2 linked regions of the Arabidopsis thaliana genome follow. The protein of the gene in region 2 purifies or fractionates together with the protein of the main gene of each other region. This does not show direct contact. Each region holds a gene or a part of one and is shown on either strand. Other genes may lie near its edges.

Region 1 (8,732 bases), on a different chromosome or scaffold from region 2:
GTAATTGAAATTATTCTTATGATTATCTTACTAAAAGACACTTCTCACATCTATATAGACTTTATAGACAAAACTCAAACATGACTAGACTTAGAATTAATAAGTCTTAGAGCACGTTCAATGGAAGTCCCTTAGAGTAACCTTAATGATAGGCTCTTAATTTTGAATCTTAATGAATTGTTTTATTGAAAAAATTGTAACTAAGAACTTTTGTAATGGTTTGAAGCTCTTAGAGCTTCATTAATGGTAGTTTCTTAGGTTAGTTCTTAGAATTTTTTTTGATCATTAATTACTAAGAACATCTCATTTTGACTCTTATATAAGAGACATTTTGTCATTTGTCTCTTATATAAGAGTTAAAATGAGATGTTCTTATCCTAAGAACTAATCAAAGAGACAACCATAATGATGCTCTTAAACTTTCTTTTATCTTTTAGCTAAGAAACTCTTCTTAACTATTCACATACTCTTTTGATTATATTATGCCTAAGATTTATAGTAAGAGACTTGCAATAAGGATGGTCTTATAGAGTTCTTAATATAGTAGGTTCTTCCAGAAAACCCAAAATTAAATAGAAAATGCAAAAATAGATCTGGGCCGTTCCCTATCGAAGGGATACTTCATGGACCCATACGTGGCTAAATATTATTGGTCCATGAAGTTTTTCGATAAACGTAATCTTTTACAAGTGTTTAGTTTTTTTTGGGCATTCACGTGTTTGGTTTCTCTCTGCAGCGGCGACTTTTTACGGCGATTGTATCTCTCCGATATCGATCTGTCTCGATCATTAGCTCAAAGAGAACAAGACGGCAATTGTGTGGCGATCCGTCTCGATCAACGGCGATAGTGTGTCGATCCGTCTCAATCGACGGCGATAGTGTGTCGATTCGTCATTGATCCAAATCGGAGAGTTTAAGGTTCGAAATCGGAGAATTTATTGATACTCATCTCCAATCTCTTCTGAAGGTATGATTCATTTGATTTGAGTGTTTAGATCTTCATTATTTAGGGTTTAATAGAAATTGTTGAAATTAGGGTTTCGTGAATTGTGGTTTTATGATTGATAATTAGGGCTTTTATATGTAAACGAAATTAGGGTTTTGTGTTCACATAATCAGTCGTTATTACTTTTGATTTTTGCCTTTTAGATTGATATGAATTTGATTTGGTTTGTGTATGAATTGAAACATAAACACTCGTCTATTGCAATACGTGGATTTAATTATTTCAGTTGTGTTCTTGAATGAAATGAGTTTGGTTTTATGAAATGAGTTTGGACTTTAGTTATTACGACTAATGAGTTTGGTCTTTAAGAAATGAGTTTGTACTTTAGTTATTACTTTGTGTTTCTGCTTATGAGTTTGCTCTTTATGAAATCAGTTTGGACTTTAGTTATTACTTTGTGTTTCGGATAATGAGTTTGGACTTTATCAAATGAGTTTGGACTTTAGTTATTACTTTCTTTTCCGGCTAATAGTTTGGACTTTAGTTATTGCTTTGTGTTTCGGCTAATAAGTTTGGTCTTTATGATAGGTTGTATTATATACTTTAAGTGTTTTAGTTTTGATCATGAATGAAATGAGTTTTGAGTTTGTGTGTTATATAATTTAAGTGTTTCAGTTGTGTTCTATGCTTTAAGTTCTCTAACTTGTGGTTGGTCTTATCAAATGAGTTTTGAGTTGCAGGATCCTGAAGATTTGAGTGGTGCCGACATCACTTGTACAAGAAGACACCACAAGCAACAATTTGTATTGTGCGACAGATGCGGTTGACAAATACCTCCGGATTGGTGAAAACACTTTGATGTCTTGTATGATACATTCGGTTGAAGCAATCATATATTTGTTCGGGAAAGAGTATCTAAGAAGACCTACGCGACAAGATCTTAAACGACTACTGCGTATTGGAGAGCTCCGTGGATTTCTCGGGATGACAGGAAGCATCGATTGTATGCATTGGGAGTGAAAGAATTGCCCGACCGCTTGGAAAGAACAATATACACGTGGATCTGGAAAACCAACAATCGAACTACAGGCTGTTGCTTCCCAAAATCTTTGGATATGGCACATATGTTTTGGACCTCTAGGTACCTTAAATGATATCAATATACTTAATCTCTCACTAGTTTTTGATGATATAATATAAGGCCGAGCTCCAAAAGTGAAATACGTCATCAACGGAAACGACTAAATCATTTGGCTTACTAGCTCACATATGGTATTTATCCTAAATGACCTACATTATCCAATCTATTTCACTTCCTCAAGGTGACAAAGATTCTTTATTTGCTACAAATCAAGAAGTTTGTCGTAAAGATGTAGAGCGTGCTTTTGGAGTTTTGCAAGCTCGGTTTGCCATTGTCACAAATCCAACTCTTATTTGAGATAAAGAAAAGGTAGGAATGATCATGCGAGCATGTATAATACTTTACAATATGATAGTTGAGGATGAACGAGATGAGTATACTTATTTTGATGCATCCGAATTCACACAACCGGAATCAACCGCTTCTTCACAAGTGGATTTCAACTATTTTACAGATATGGCTTCAAATCTCGGTAATATTATGGCGTCTGGAGCCTGGTTCGTGCTCGGACTATGCATCAACAATTGAAAAATAATTTAATTGAGCATTTATGGCACAAATTTGGCGGGAATCAAGCTAACCACTAATCGTTATTTTGGTTTTCAATATTTATATCATGTATGTTTAATATTTAAGTATTTACATTAATAATTAAATTTTATGAAATAAAATATTTGTAATTTTTAATTTAATAATAATATTTTATTTTTTAAGAAACCCGCTTAAAGACCTACCATTGGACAAACAAAAAATTAAAGAACCAAAAAAATCTCTTAAACTTTTAAATTTCAAAATTATGATTAAAAAAATATGAAGAGCCCCTAATGGTCTCTTACCATTGGTGTTGCTCTGAGATTGCATGTTTATGTATCTATGTTTAGGATATGCAAAGTTGATTATGAACTTGCTTTTGGGATAATTGTCTTCTTTTTTTATGCATTAACAATTTTAAAATTTTTAGGATAACAACTCTATTCAAAGTCTTTTAACAAAAATACTCCATTCAAGCTCAATTGTTACTAAAATCCAAAACTTTCGCCAAAACTTATTTTCTCAATTGGTTATAATTTTCATTGGGTAGGTTTCAAAACAACATGTTTTGAAACTATATTTTTTTTTACTTTTTTTTAAAATTAGATATCTATATTCTAATCTTTAATCTCCTTTGACAACATTCTAATTATAAATTCACAGAAAAATTAACTAATGCTAAAATTTTCAATAACATATTTTATTATTAATAATTAAATTAATTGTTTTGTCACATGGAAAGAGGCAAAAAGAAAAGTATATATCATCACAATAAGATCTTCATTTCGATCCTCACATGCATTCCATGAATGTGTATTACATCAATTTACACCTTTTTTAAAAAACATTATTTCAGAACAGTATTAAAACAAATTTCGTGGATAATTCTAAAGTATTACATACTCTAGAATTAAATATATTTCCGTATTTAAAAAACTAAGAATATATTTTTAGAACAAAAACTTAAAAATAACAAAGTAAATCGATAGATTGATAAATATATCTTCTCTTTGCTCTTTTTCAATCTGTAACCAAAATATTAAAATTCCTCATGTATTTATTTCTGATATCAACTAATTGTTAAAAAATTTTTTTACTGGTTTTAAATTTAACCCGTGCAACACGTGGCTTGATAGCGTTATATAAAATATTTTGTTTGACTTGAATGGGTCATCTATAGTCTTCCCAGTCACACCCAAACCGCTCAACAAGAAAAACCAGATTTATTTTCTCTGGAAAACACTCTTCAAGTCTTTTACCTTCCGAGAATATATTTCAAATTCTATCATATCATCTTTGATCATTTTCCTTGTCCTTCGAATTTGTTCTTTGTTGTGGCGGAGTCTTGAAGATGAAGCAGCTTCTGTGTTACCTTCCATGGCTGCTTCTCCTCACTCTTCTGGTTTCCCCTTTAAACGACGCTCGATTCGTGGTGGAGAAGAACAGTTTGTCCGTGACGTCGCCGGAGAGTATAAAAGGAACTCATGATAGTGCAATTGGTAACTTCGGGATTCCTCAATACGGTGGAAGTATGGCTGGTACGGTGGTTTATCCGAAAGAGAATCAGAAATCGTGTAAGGAATTTAGCGATTTCTCGATTTCGTTCAAGTCTCAGCCTGGTGCTTTACCTACTTTCCTCTTAGTTGATCGTGGAGGTACTTCAATCTCTTACTCAATCGATTTGATTCGATTCGATTCGATTCCTTAGGGTTTATAAGTGTTGTTGTTGTTGTTGTTGTTGTTGTGTAGATTGTTTCTTCGCTTTGAAGGTATGGAACGCACAGAAAGCAGGTGCTTCTGCTGTTCTTGTAGCTGATAATGTTGATGAACCTTTGATTACAATGGATACACCTGAAGAAGATGTTTCTTCTGCAAAGTATATTGAGAATATTACTATACCTTCTGCTCTTGTTACTAAAGGTTTTGGTGAAAAGCTGAAGAAAGCTATTAGTGGAGGAGATATGGTTAACTTGAATCTTGACTGGAGAGAGGCTGTTCCGCATCCTGATGACCGTGTTGAGTATGAGTTGTGGACTAATAGTAATGATGAATGTGGGGTTAAGTGTGATATGTTGATGGAGTTTGTGAAAGATTTTAAGGGAGCGGCGCAGATTCTTGAGAAAGGCGGGTTTACGCAGTTTAGACCTCATTATATTACTTGGTATTGTCCTCATGCTTTCACGTTGAGTCGACAGTGTAAGTCTCAGTGTATCAATAAAGGAAGGTACTGTGCTCCTGATCCAGAGCAGGACTTTAGCTCGGGATACGATGGAAAAGATGTGGTCGTGGAAAACTTGAGACAGCTTTGTGTTTACAAGGTGGCGAATGAAACCGGCAAACCTTGGGTCTGGTGGGATTATGTTACTGATTTCCAGATCAGATGTCCCATGAAGGAGAAGAAATACAATAAGGAGTGTGCTGATTCCGTTATCAAATCTCTTGGTGAGTGTGTCTGTTATATGCAAATTAAAGAAAGACAATTTTGGGGAGAATGATGCATAGTTACTATGTCTTTACAGGAATTGATAGTAAAAAACTTGACAAGTGTATGGGAGACCCTGATGCTGACTTGGACAATCCAGTTCTTAAGGAAGAACAAGATGCTCAAGTAAATATTAGTCATTTTCATCTGTATTTTCCTCCGGCGTTTCATAGTTATAATCTTTGAATAATCCGTTCGTTTGTGATTGACATATTATATTATGTAGGTTGGCAAGGGTTCAAGGGGTGATGTTACCATATTGCCTACCTTGGTTGTCAACAACAGACAGTACCGAGGTTTGTCTTACATAGTTAACTTAAGACTTCAATACTTGTAGTTTACCTTTGTTAAATAAATGTTTCCTTGCAGGAAAGTTGGAGAAGAGTGCAGTACTCAAGGCTTTATGCTCTGGTTTTGAGGAGACCACTGAACCAGCGATATGCCTCAGCACAGGTATATATTGTTGGTCTTGCCTAATTGTGGGCATTTCGGAATTCACTCAAACTCGTCTGAATAAGCTTTACCTGTATACACATTGGAATACGTTTTGGTGTATCGGGTGAACTTGTGTTGTTAAGTATCCAAAATTTGGGTTTGAGTATCCAAAATTTGGGTCCTCACCAAAACCTGAAATAGCTGACCCATACCCGAGCAAGAATCATAAATCTAAATTTGGATATATTTGGGGTATTAACGATTGATGCCCACAGCTGCCTGTGCTCATACCTGAACCACCTTATCCTAGCTTATCAAATAAATGTTTGGAATGTATTGTAAACTTCTTTTACAATTTACAGATGTGGAGTCAAACGAGTGCTTAGATAACAATGGTGGTTGTTGGCAAGATAAATCAGCCAACATAACTGCTTGCAAGGTATAATGTGAAATTGCTTGGAATAAATTCTGTGCTATCTTTATTAAATCTGCTTAATCCGCAGGATACTTTTCGTGGAAGAGTATGCGAGTGTCCTACAGTTGATGGTGTGCAATTCAAAGGGGATGGTTACAGTCACTGTGAACGTAAGTGTTCATGTCATCTTTGATTAGCTCTTATAAATTTATCAGACTTGTATTATTCAGTAGCAATCTAAGTATGGAAAGATAATAGTTTAGATACTTATAGACCGACATTCTGATCTTCTTCTAGCAGCTCTCATATAACCCATTGTCAGTACATTGTAAAGAAAATTTTCGGTTTACCCTCTTAGATTTTTGAGAGCGCACATCTTCCTGGTGAAATTCAAGATATAATTGTTATTTCATGCTCACTAAAACTTTGAACACTTATATGCCATCATTTCCCATTAGAGATTGATAATTTTATGTTGTCTCTTTGCTGTGCTTTCGTTTGATGTCAAAATTCCATACTGAACTGGTGTTTGCATTGCAGCAAGCGGGCCAGGGAGATGCACAATCAACAATGGAGGTTGTTGGCATGAAGAGCGAGATGGACATGCGTTCTCTGCTTGTGTGGTTAGTGGTGTCTTCTGCGCTTAAGTGTATAATCTCACAGTTTAGTAAGATACTTCTGTCTCAACTTGTAATGCCTTCAGGACAAGGACAGTGTTAAGTGCGAGTGTCCTCCAGGATTTAAAGGAGATGGTACTAAGAAGTGTGAAGGTTAGACCCTCTGAAAAAACTTGAATTACAGTACTACTTTGTTCTAGTTCTAATCATCTTATAAGGATTTTCGTGCTTCCTGCACCAGACATTAATGAGTGCAAAGAGAAGAAAGCATGCCAGTGCCCAGAGTGTAGCTGCAAGAACACATGGGGAAGCTATGAGTGCTCTTGTAGCGGGGACCTTCTCTACATCAGAGATCATGACACTTGCATCAGTGAGTATTTTTTTTTGAATATGGAAGTCTAAAGTTTGATTATTCAAATAGTGTTTCTCCCACCTGTTTTCCAATTGTTATTGGTTCTATTTGTCGAAATCTAGGCAAGACGGGTGCACAAGTGAGATCAGCATGGGCGGCCGTTTGGCTTATAATGTTATCATTGGGACTTGCAGCTGCTGGTGCATACCTCGTTTACAAATATAGGCTAAGGGTAAGCTTTTTTAATCTCTTCTGCTCTTTTGTTTTCTGTTGTGTTAATAGCGAAGATTAATCTTGTATTTGCCATATCCGTTACTTGGGGAAAATTGTTTTAACATTCCTATGCCCCTGGTTTTACAGCAATACATGGACTCAGAGATCAGAGCCATAATGGCACAGTACATGCCATTGGACAGCCAACCCGAGATCCCGAACCACGTGAATGATGAACGCGCCTGAGAAAGCAAAACAGTCCATCTATTTATTCCCCGGGAAGGACCCAAGGTGACACGTTCTTTTAACTGATGTGGCCCTTAACGACGATGTTTTCTCGCCTCTGTATCTTTGTAACTCTTTTTTTTTTTTTTACCATTACAGTGTATTTGCATACAAAAGAGGTTCGAGTGACTTTGTGCTTTTTTTTCTCACTTGTGTCCATGGGACTTCTGTAATAGGAAAACTCTGATGTAAGTAGCTTCGGCTAACAAGACAAGAGAGAGTTACTTGTTTTAGAGTTCATGTTGTTAATTGTTTCCTTTTTTTTTTTTTGTCGACTAATTGTTTCCTTTTATCTTGGAAAAGTGTGATTCTCATTTCATTTATCCCTAAACAAAAGAAGGTCCGATTCTTTGTGTAAGTCATCTTCTTTTTAGTTATTAAAGTAAGAATTATATTTTTGACTTTTGAAAATGTACTTATACGTTTTATATTCCTAACTTTACAAGTTTAAATTAATATAATAAATTATGCAAAAACAAATTTCAAAAAACAATATATTGGATAAATATATTGCATATATATTTAGTTAATATTTATTGAATAATTTGGTATTAATATAATAAATTATGCAATACTATGTAACTAAATATATATTGATTAAATTTTTTACAAAGATTTTTGTTTTAATATTTATAAATTCTAGTTTCATAGATCGCGCATTTCGCTTATATCACAGTTTTTTTATTAATAGGCTATGTTTTTTAAAGTACTTTAATGTTGTAATCTTAGTCACTATTTATTTATAAGCATAAAACTATAATTTCTATGTTTTTGTCGCCTTTAAAAAATCAATATTAATACTAAAATTTAAACTACATTTAAGTTTGAATCTCTAAAGCTTGTGTTAATGGATAGCTTGGAAAGCTTATCTTTCCGGAGAACATTATTATTGTACAATCTATTAGCTCTTGATTCTTGAATTTAGTTAGTGCATCTCCTGATTATGTTCCACTTTCATTTTCTTCTAATTTTAGGAATCTGGATGCAAATCCAGGTTAAGTACATTTAGCTTAATAGAAAGATGATTTGACTCGGACTGATGAAAATGGTGCCAAGACCAAAACTCTACCACTCGGACGAGTCAGGTCAAAAACAACTCAAATTGACTATTGAACCATTTTTCTAATCTAGACCAGACACCAAAACTCTACCACAGCTCTCCGACATTGGTGGGCCTAATAAATTCCCACAAATATTTTTTTCTGTTTTCTTTTTCTATAAACGGTTGGAATTACATCTTTTGAACCCATATTTTTTTTTGTACTAAAATGATTAAACTCGAGCCAAAAAAATATCAATTTATTAGGCAATCACT
Region 2 (7,856 bases):
TAATTGCGATTCAAAGAAAAGTAGTCGAAAAAAGGTCCCGTTGGAAACCCTTCTTTCACAATAGTGTCCCATAGAAGCTTGTAAAGCATTAGCTGAAGCCTGTCAAATATAGTTAATTCAAGGACATTAACACAAAACTCCCACGTATTAAACCAAAACCAAAAATGACCAACGTTTTCCTTAACTCTATCAAACACTTACCTTCCATTCCTCCTCTGTGGCTCAGCTGGAAGTGTATCACGGAGTCGAGTCTTTGTATCTATCAATATTGGTCCGCTATCAGAAGACTCTTCTGCATACGCCTTTCTAAGCTCGTCAATAATTCCCACAATCCATTGACCTCCAACAAATCCTAAGCTTTACAAGGTAAAATGCAACATATTTAAAGTCTCATTTGATGTATGCTACAAAACATTATCTTGCTAGGAAAAGGTAAAAGCCACGAGAATGTTACAAAAGAAGATCGAAACTAGAGGGGTAGAAGGAACTCACAGTAGCAATTCACGAGTTCGTCCTTCAAACAAGAACTGATTAACACCAGCAATGGAATTCAACAGCTTCAATGCCCACTTATCTTCATTTGATTCAACTTTTACTCTCACTTTTTTAACTACCTACCCAATTATATAAACACAACAACAAGTAGATTTCATCAAATTGTTCACAAAACGATCAAGTACTCTTAATAGTAACAATAAGCCCCTAAGATCCATCATAGTGAATAATACCTCTTCTTCAAGCTGCAAATGACGAGCCTGACCAACTTTCATAGCTTTATTGACTTTTCTCCTGCCAAAACAAAGAACATTCTCCATTTGTTTCTCACACCATTCCTATAACCAAATAGAGAGAGATCACTATCATTGTCAAATGTGCTTATATGATCTCTTCTTTCCTATAATCTGTGATAAAAAAAACGTACAGTTCCGGTGAGATCTGTGACACCTAAAGCTTGATTTCTCCTAAATCGATGTAGATAAGACTCTTCGATATCTGAACAAGCCGATAATTTCCTCTTGGAGAAGAGAGTAATTGAGCGGATTGTTTTGGGACTTCCGCCGGCGGTTATCCGTGACGGAGAAACAGAACGGATCACGGAAGGGAGGATGGAGCGGGAGGCTGCAAGAGCTGCATCGAGAATAGCCATTTCTTCTTCACTGACGATCTCGATTGGGATCTCGGGGAAGACGACATGGTGACTTTGAGGGCTTGAAATAGAAACAGTCCCGGATTGAGCGGGCTTAGTGGATGTGGTGGTGCTAAGCGAGTCGGAGGTTGACTCGGAGGGTGACTCGGCCATGTTTTATTCGGAACCAACATGTGGTCTTCTTCTTCTTTCGTGTCCATGTAAAAAATTCAAATCAGAGTAAAAAAAATAAAAATTGTAATTATAATAAACTAATCATAGAATTTATATTTGAACTTAGAAAGGTAAACAAACAAATAAAATAAAAGTGAAATCAATTATTGTAGTGTTATATGCTGCTTTTTGTGAATTTGATGTCCAAAAACTAGATGAAGTTTTGTGTAAATGATTTTTTATACTTTATTTGCAGTTTTGCATGTTCTTAATCACACAATTGGATAGAGATTTATGAGATATCCATGTGACCACTATTAATCACGTTATTAGATTTCATTTTCGTTTAGAATACCAATTACCAAAACAAAATAAAGTCATAACTTGTAAGCTGTATGTTATACAAAATGACTCAAGGATCAAGATTCAAAGTAAAAGCTATATGTTAGACAAATTGACTTAGGATCAAGAACGAAACTACTTTGATCTAAATCAATTTATGTTCATAAATTTAACATGAAAATATTATAAATTTGTCGTCTATAGTTTTGGCTTTATTTTGTACATATTAACAGACCTTTTTATGTTACAACAAGCATAAACCATATGCATTCCCAAGTCCCAACTTTTACGTAATGTCTTAATCCAATAAATACGTGAACATTTCGTAATTTGATAATTGACCAACCACATTCGCTGATCATCTCAAGCCACAACGGGGTATGATGCACATGTAGCAATACCTGCAATTCAAGAACGAATCAACAATAGATAGAGAAAGACCAACTGTGAGAATTTGAGAATGGTGTGATGGTTTCATAATTATTAAAGAACTTACCACACATGTTCTTCCCCATCTCCATCTTGAAGTAACCTTTGTCGCCCCAATCCGCTCCCCATGAGTTCTTAATAAGCCAATATGGTACACCGTCTTCAACTCCATAACCAACGGCCAAAACCGCGTGGTTCACATCCTATATTGCCACATTAAGGAAACCGAACACTAAGCTAAGTTCCTAAGAAGATTTTATGTGAACCAATGAAAGTCTTTTTAACAGTTTAAAGAAGAAAGTCTCACCATTGGAGTACTTCCACAGTGACTATCAGTGTAAACTCCACTCTTGTAAAGCCGGAACGAGTGTATAACCTCAAATGCTATGCTTACTGGCCGTACCAATCCAACCGCATGCTTCAGTTCATCTTCAGCACCCTGTTGTTGTTGTTGTTTCAATCATCATTACAGAATGTATATTCTCATGCAAGTGAAATTCAAAATCCATAAAAGATGCTTACCAGAGTAATGTTGACTGAGTTGAGGACTTGTACACCAACGTTTTCAGCTGAAAATTTGCAGGTTTCATCTTTACCGGTATAAGGATAAGCTTTCTCTGTGTCGAGGCCACCGTTGGATTTGATGTATTCAAAGGCTTGAGAAGGAAGGCCACCATTGCAACCATAGTTATTGAAAGCTCCAGCACAATCCACAAGCTGTTGCTCAGAGAGAGAAATTCCTTTTCCAAATGCCTGATGGTAAGCTGCCTCAAGAGCTCCAGTTGTGCTGCAGTACAAAAAACAATCATATGACATACAATCTCGACCTTCAATTTGACATCAAAAGATCCCACCAAAAATTAAAGAGAGTATCTTAATCATTGGTTTTACTTTTACCTGAATGTCCAGCAAGATCCACAACCTCCCTGATCTTTGACCGGACTAACGATACCATCTTCTCTCCAGTCTTTCTGCAGTTACACAATTTGAGAACTCAGAACCAAATTTTTAAAAAGGTCTGCAGCTAAACACGTTCTCTTAGAGCTGAAAAACAGAACGGGATGGTGGTTGACATAGTTCAGTGCAGCAAGATTGAGTCCTGGACTTACTGTTTCAGGAAGAGCTGCTTCTGTGACCTTGTGGCTGCCCTTTAAAGTGGCAGAGCAGTTCTGAGCAGCACCAAGCTTGGTCCTTTGAAACTCTTGCCATGTCAAATCAGCAAATTCTGTATAGATTCAAGACACAATTAGCAATATTTAGGTAAATCATTATTCATCAAACCATTGCAGTGTCAGTTCTAGGACAAATAAAGATTAGATCCCTACAACTCTACAAGGAAGTAGGAACGAGAACCAATCTTCAACTCAGGACAGCTAAATCTTAAAGAAGCAGAACACTGTTTTTGACACAAACTAGTCTCTCACACAGAGTTCATAGACTCATAAACTCTGTAAAGTCTAGAGTCCCAATAACAATCTTGAATCACGTGAACGAAAGAAAAAAATCAAAATTTAAAAATATTAACTTGGAAGATTCCAAGACAGAACAAAAGTTAGTTTCCACGTTTTCCCACAGTGTCTTTTATACATACGTTTACTTCCTTAAGTACAAACTCAGGAGAAGAAAGATAAAAAAAAAAACTTACGATTAACACCGAGTTTGTAAGATAAGCCTTTCTTGTTGGTGGATCTGATCAAATCAAGATTCTCCTTGAAAATCGAGAATCGAAGCTTCATCTCCTCCACGTTCTGATACTTTTTACCATATCTTCATCACCAACAAACGATGATCAAAAGCTAAGATCAAAAGTCAACGGAGAAAGCACGGGTGGTGAAAGGACGAGACTTACCGGTGAGTGAAGCGAGCGAAAGAGAGAACGTGACGAGATTGACCTAAGATCTGGGAAACAGATTCTTCTACCTCCCGGAGACCATCGGAGACCATTCGGATCGGGTTTGACTCATCGAATCCGATATTAGCCGCTGCTGATGCGGCGACGAGAACCACCAAAACTACTGATGATAGGATTGTTTTCGCAGACATGGCTTTCTCTCTCTCGTTCTTACTTTTTTTTTTTTCTCAACGCTAATGTCTGCTTCAGTGTTTTAGCTCGATAGATTGTGAGTGGAAGAAGAAGAAGAAGAAGAAGAGTAGAAGACGGAAGAGAGAGATACAGACGGAAACGTTATCGGGACACGTGGTGGAATCTAAATGGACAGTTTTGTCCTTTATACTTGGAATGTTGACGTGTCCTGTGATGTCATGGTCTACCAACGAGAAATCAATCATGTTTTCATAATTTTATTTACGGGAAACTGCAAAATAGCCAGCCCATGGATTATAGATTAGTCCAAGATCGGAATGTATCAATTTCCAAAACAGTAACCGTATTCAAACTAAAATTTGTTAATTATATTTGATGTTATTGGGCTTGCTTTCGTCAATGTTTTGAAAATTGGTGGCCCGTCAGGACCAGGCTGACCGGAAATCGTTTATGTAGTTAAACTCGTGGTTGAACTAAAACCCGGATTTAAGGACACAGTTCAATACCAAATCCCATTCAGAAACTTTTATTGGTAAGAGATCTTTTAATTAACTAAGGTTTTTGAATCAAAAATCAATGTACAAACTTTTAAAAAAAAATCTTTTCACTGTTATGAAAAAATATTTTCCAATTTGATATAGATTAGAAAATCTTGTTATCTATATACTTTATTTTGTGATCAAATTATTTTACGTATTCGAGACTGTTTTAACATTTTGAAAAGCAAGTCATATTTGATCTTTTACCATTAAATTTACTAAGTATAATTTTGAATAATATATTTTATGATCTAATTTTGTTGTTTTCTCATTTTGTTGCAGGATAAGTGATATTAATTATTTTGATGTGTTCTACATTCTTGTTTACTTTTATTTGGGACACACATATATCCAATGAATATAAATTTTCGATGTCCAATTTAAATTTTCAAAACATTAATTTCGTTGAGTCGAATGTGTGCGAAATCCGACACCGACTGCAAATTACACACTGCATCGTTTATATATTTGAAGGAAACATCTTATTCATGAAGTATGACGATTGAACCAATTAAAATTAAGTATAAGGCATACAAATTAAAAAGATGGGAGAATGGTAGGAAGTTGTTTGAGTGATTTTGAAGAGATAAAATTATACAGATAGTTAAGAGGATAGTAATTTGAGTTAAATTAGGAGTTTGTTCATTTGACTGAAAAACGTCGGGGCCAAGCAATTGATTTCAATCCCTTACCGCTACTCTTTATTACTCCTTTCAGATCAAACGTCTTCACCTTGTTAAAGTCATTCCTCATAGGATGACTCGGTGGAGCACAGATTCCCATATTAATTGGTGCTGCGGACACGTGATATCCCTGACCCCGAGCTGATGGGGAGGGTACATAAGTTGGCTGCCTTGGCCGAGTAACTGCTACAACACAAAATGGAACATATAAGAATCAATCTATTTGCTACAAAGTACAAACAAACTAGTGCATGAGATACTTCCAAGTGCAGAATTAGCACTTGAGAATATGTGTACCTCGATTTTGTTTTTGAATTGTTATAGCCTGCTCTTGGGTTGTAGGTTGCTCGGCCTGTGTACGATTGGCATCCACGTTCTCTAAGCGTTGTTCAACCGTTGATTTCTCGTCTGCTTTATCAACCTTCTCGGTTTCCACCACCTTTAAGCTTTCATCAATGGACAGAACTCCATCACATTCCTTGCTGCCTTCCCCCGTGATTACCTCTTCATCAAGCAAGCTACTGTTTTTGTTCGCAGCGTTTGACTTGTGTTGAAGCGACTTGTTGTCTTCCACCAAAAGGTCCAAAACCATCGTTATTAGAAATTCACTATCTTCCTCTTTATCTATCAATATCTCTGCTACTTCCTCAGGTTCCTCCTCACTGATGTCTTCATCCCCACGCAAGACCCCACTTGTGTTTAAAATGCTTGAACCATCATACTCTACAGTTGACTTGCCGCCTTCCCCATCCTCACTCATCATCCAACATTTTTCAATCTTCTTCTGTTCCTCGTTAGATTTATCTTCATTTTTTACAATAATCAGATCCGCCTCTACCTTGGTTTTTGCTGCTGCTGCCTCTTTCTTACCCGTCCTCTTACTTCGATATATGCTTCCAAAACTTGGAAGGCATCTGTTTCTCCTTTCTTCCTTTGTAATTTTCTCCATCAACGATATTATGTCTTTTTCTTAGGTTCTATTGGCAAAGAATCTGTAAAAAGGGAAAGTCAAAGAACAGAGATAAGATATGACTTGGTTGGGCTGTTTATGCTTCAGCTTCATTCTATGTATGTTATATTTATAGAAGTTCATTAGTATGTGTGTTTATGTATCCAGTTGATATAGAGGGAGAGGGAGATCATAATGACATATGCCATAAAACCGCGTAAACGGCAACGACTTCAGCACTGCTTTGTATCATTTCTATGGTCTTCTTTATGTGGCCACCATGTGATTAACTATGGCAGTTTGTTTAAAAAACAGTTCTGTATAGATCTCGGAATCTCTTTCGTAATATACCTTCCTTCCTTCTGATTTCCAGGAAACATCAACTTTATTACTTATTATCAGAACAAAAATATGTGTTCTGGAAACGATATTATATTCTATTAATATTGGAACAACTTTCCGATCATTATTATATGAAGAAAATTTAATCTTCTAACTTCTAAGTAATGTTGAACTATATATTTTTCGTGAACTATGTAATATTTATCAATTATGAAGATTGACAGGGAGTTTTTTATTTATTTATTTATTTGATAAAGAAGATTGACATAGACAGAGAATGTACTTATGTACATGTTCTGAATGAAATCATGAAATCCAAAACTAAAAACTAATAAATATTCATTAATTTGTTCGAAGACTCGTCTACGTTGATAACTTTAACCCCTTTCAAAAAAATATTTTCCCCAACGCCTTTAAACTCATACTTGTGTACGTGTGGACTTTTAGATAGAAGACAGAGTTGCGAGTACGCGTCATCATTCCTAGTGTTGTAACGTTTGTAGAATTTTTTTGATGAAATGCCTTTTTAATTGTTGTTCCAAGATGACTAAGATGTTGTACATACATACATAATGAGCCTTTTAATTTAGCTGCGACAACAACACCAAAAAGCCAAACCTAGTTATATACTCCCTATGGCAAATCACAAATGATATTCAAAAATTAATGATGTAGTCTAAGCGTTTTTGTTACGTGGATATGTAATAAAAGTTAGGGATCAGTTTCTATTCGAATGATTCGACATATATTTTGTTTTGTCAGTTGCATATATAACGGCTATAGTCTATAGATTCCAGATACTGGTATAAATAAAATGAGTAATTGATGTAATATTTTTCTATTACAGTATGTGATGTCCCCCATTGTGGTCGCATATCATCAGCATATGAGAAACTATTGCTGTTTTACTCAAGATTTTGATACAAGTACAAAAAGAGTTATTTTAATCTCATTTGAAATCATAACACGAACAATTATGGACTTAACAAAATGATGATGGATCCAATAACTATAAAGATCTTTAGATAATTTGTTACAAATATATAGTACCAAATTTAGTAGAATTGTGGAAATTTTTAATTGAATAACACAATAGTATCTTATGATTATCATTCCTTTGGGTCGCGGGGTGTTTGTTTGTTCACTACCGTTTATGGTAAAGAAAATCATGGTTTTGTTTCTCTTAATGTGAATCTCTAGTCTCAGATCTCTTTGTTTTTATGGTGAT

Evidence for each region.
Region 1: the proteins of ALP (region 2) and VSR3 purify together in Arabidopsis thaliana (affinity purification with western blotting, with the first as the bait; one study listed by BioGRID). This does not show direct contact.

Annotation. Positions count from the first base shown.
Region 1 is NC_003071.7:6,304,926-6,313,657, forward strand, and holds VSR3 (vacuolar sorting receptor 3), read left to right. Parts: upstream 1-3,757; 5' UTR 3,758-3,969; coding exon 3,970-4,273; intron 4,274-4,367; coding exon 4,368-5,060; intron 5,061-5,137; coding exon 5,138-5,226; intron 5,227-5,326; coding exon 5,327-5,396; intron 5,397-5,469; coding exon 5,470-5,553; intron 5,554-5,897; coding exon 5,898-5,974; intron 5,975-6,038; coding exon 6,039-6,120; intron 6,121-6,490; coding exon 6,491-6,573; intron 6,574-6,653; coding exon 6,654-6,720; intron 6,721-6,808; coding exon 6,809-6,937; intron 6,938-7,041; coding exon 7,042-7,151; intron 7,152-7,279; coding exon 7,280-7,378; 3' UTR 7,379-7,423; exon of another isoform or gene 7,424-7,516; 3' UTR 7,517-7,801; downstream 7,802-8,732. UniProt on the Arabidopsis thaliana protein: Vacuolar-sorting receptor (VSR) involved in clathrin-coated vesicles sorting from Golgi apparatus to vacuoles.
Region 2 is NC_003076.8:24,276,302-24,284,157, reverse strand, and holds ALP (aleurain-like protease), read right to left. Parts: upstream 4,262-7,856; 5' UTR 4,115-4,261; coding exon 3,921-4,114; intron 3,839-3,920; coding exon 3,717-3,838; intron 3,297-3,716; coding exon 3,181-3,296; intron 3,043-3,180; coding exon 2,969-3,042; intron 2,859-2,968; coding exon 2,594-2,858; intron 2,511-2,593; coding exon 2,379-2,510; intron 2,275-2,378; coding exon 2,135-2,274; intron 2,044-2,134; coding exon 2,001-2,043; 3' UTR 1,790-2,000; downstream 1-1,789. Other genes in the region: AT5G60370 (exonuclease V-like protein), read right to left, coding at 1-99, 202-357, 493-614, 729-833, 923-1,300; AT5G60350 (uncharacterized protein), read right to left, coding at 5,297-5,523, 5,635-6,286. UniProt on the Arabidopsis thaliana protein: May play a role in proteolysis leading to mobilization of nitrogen during senescence and starvation.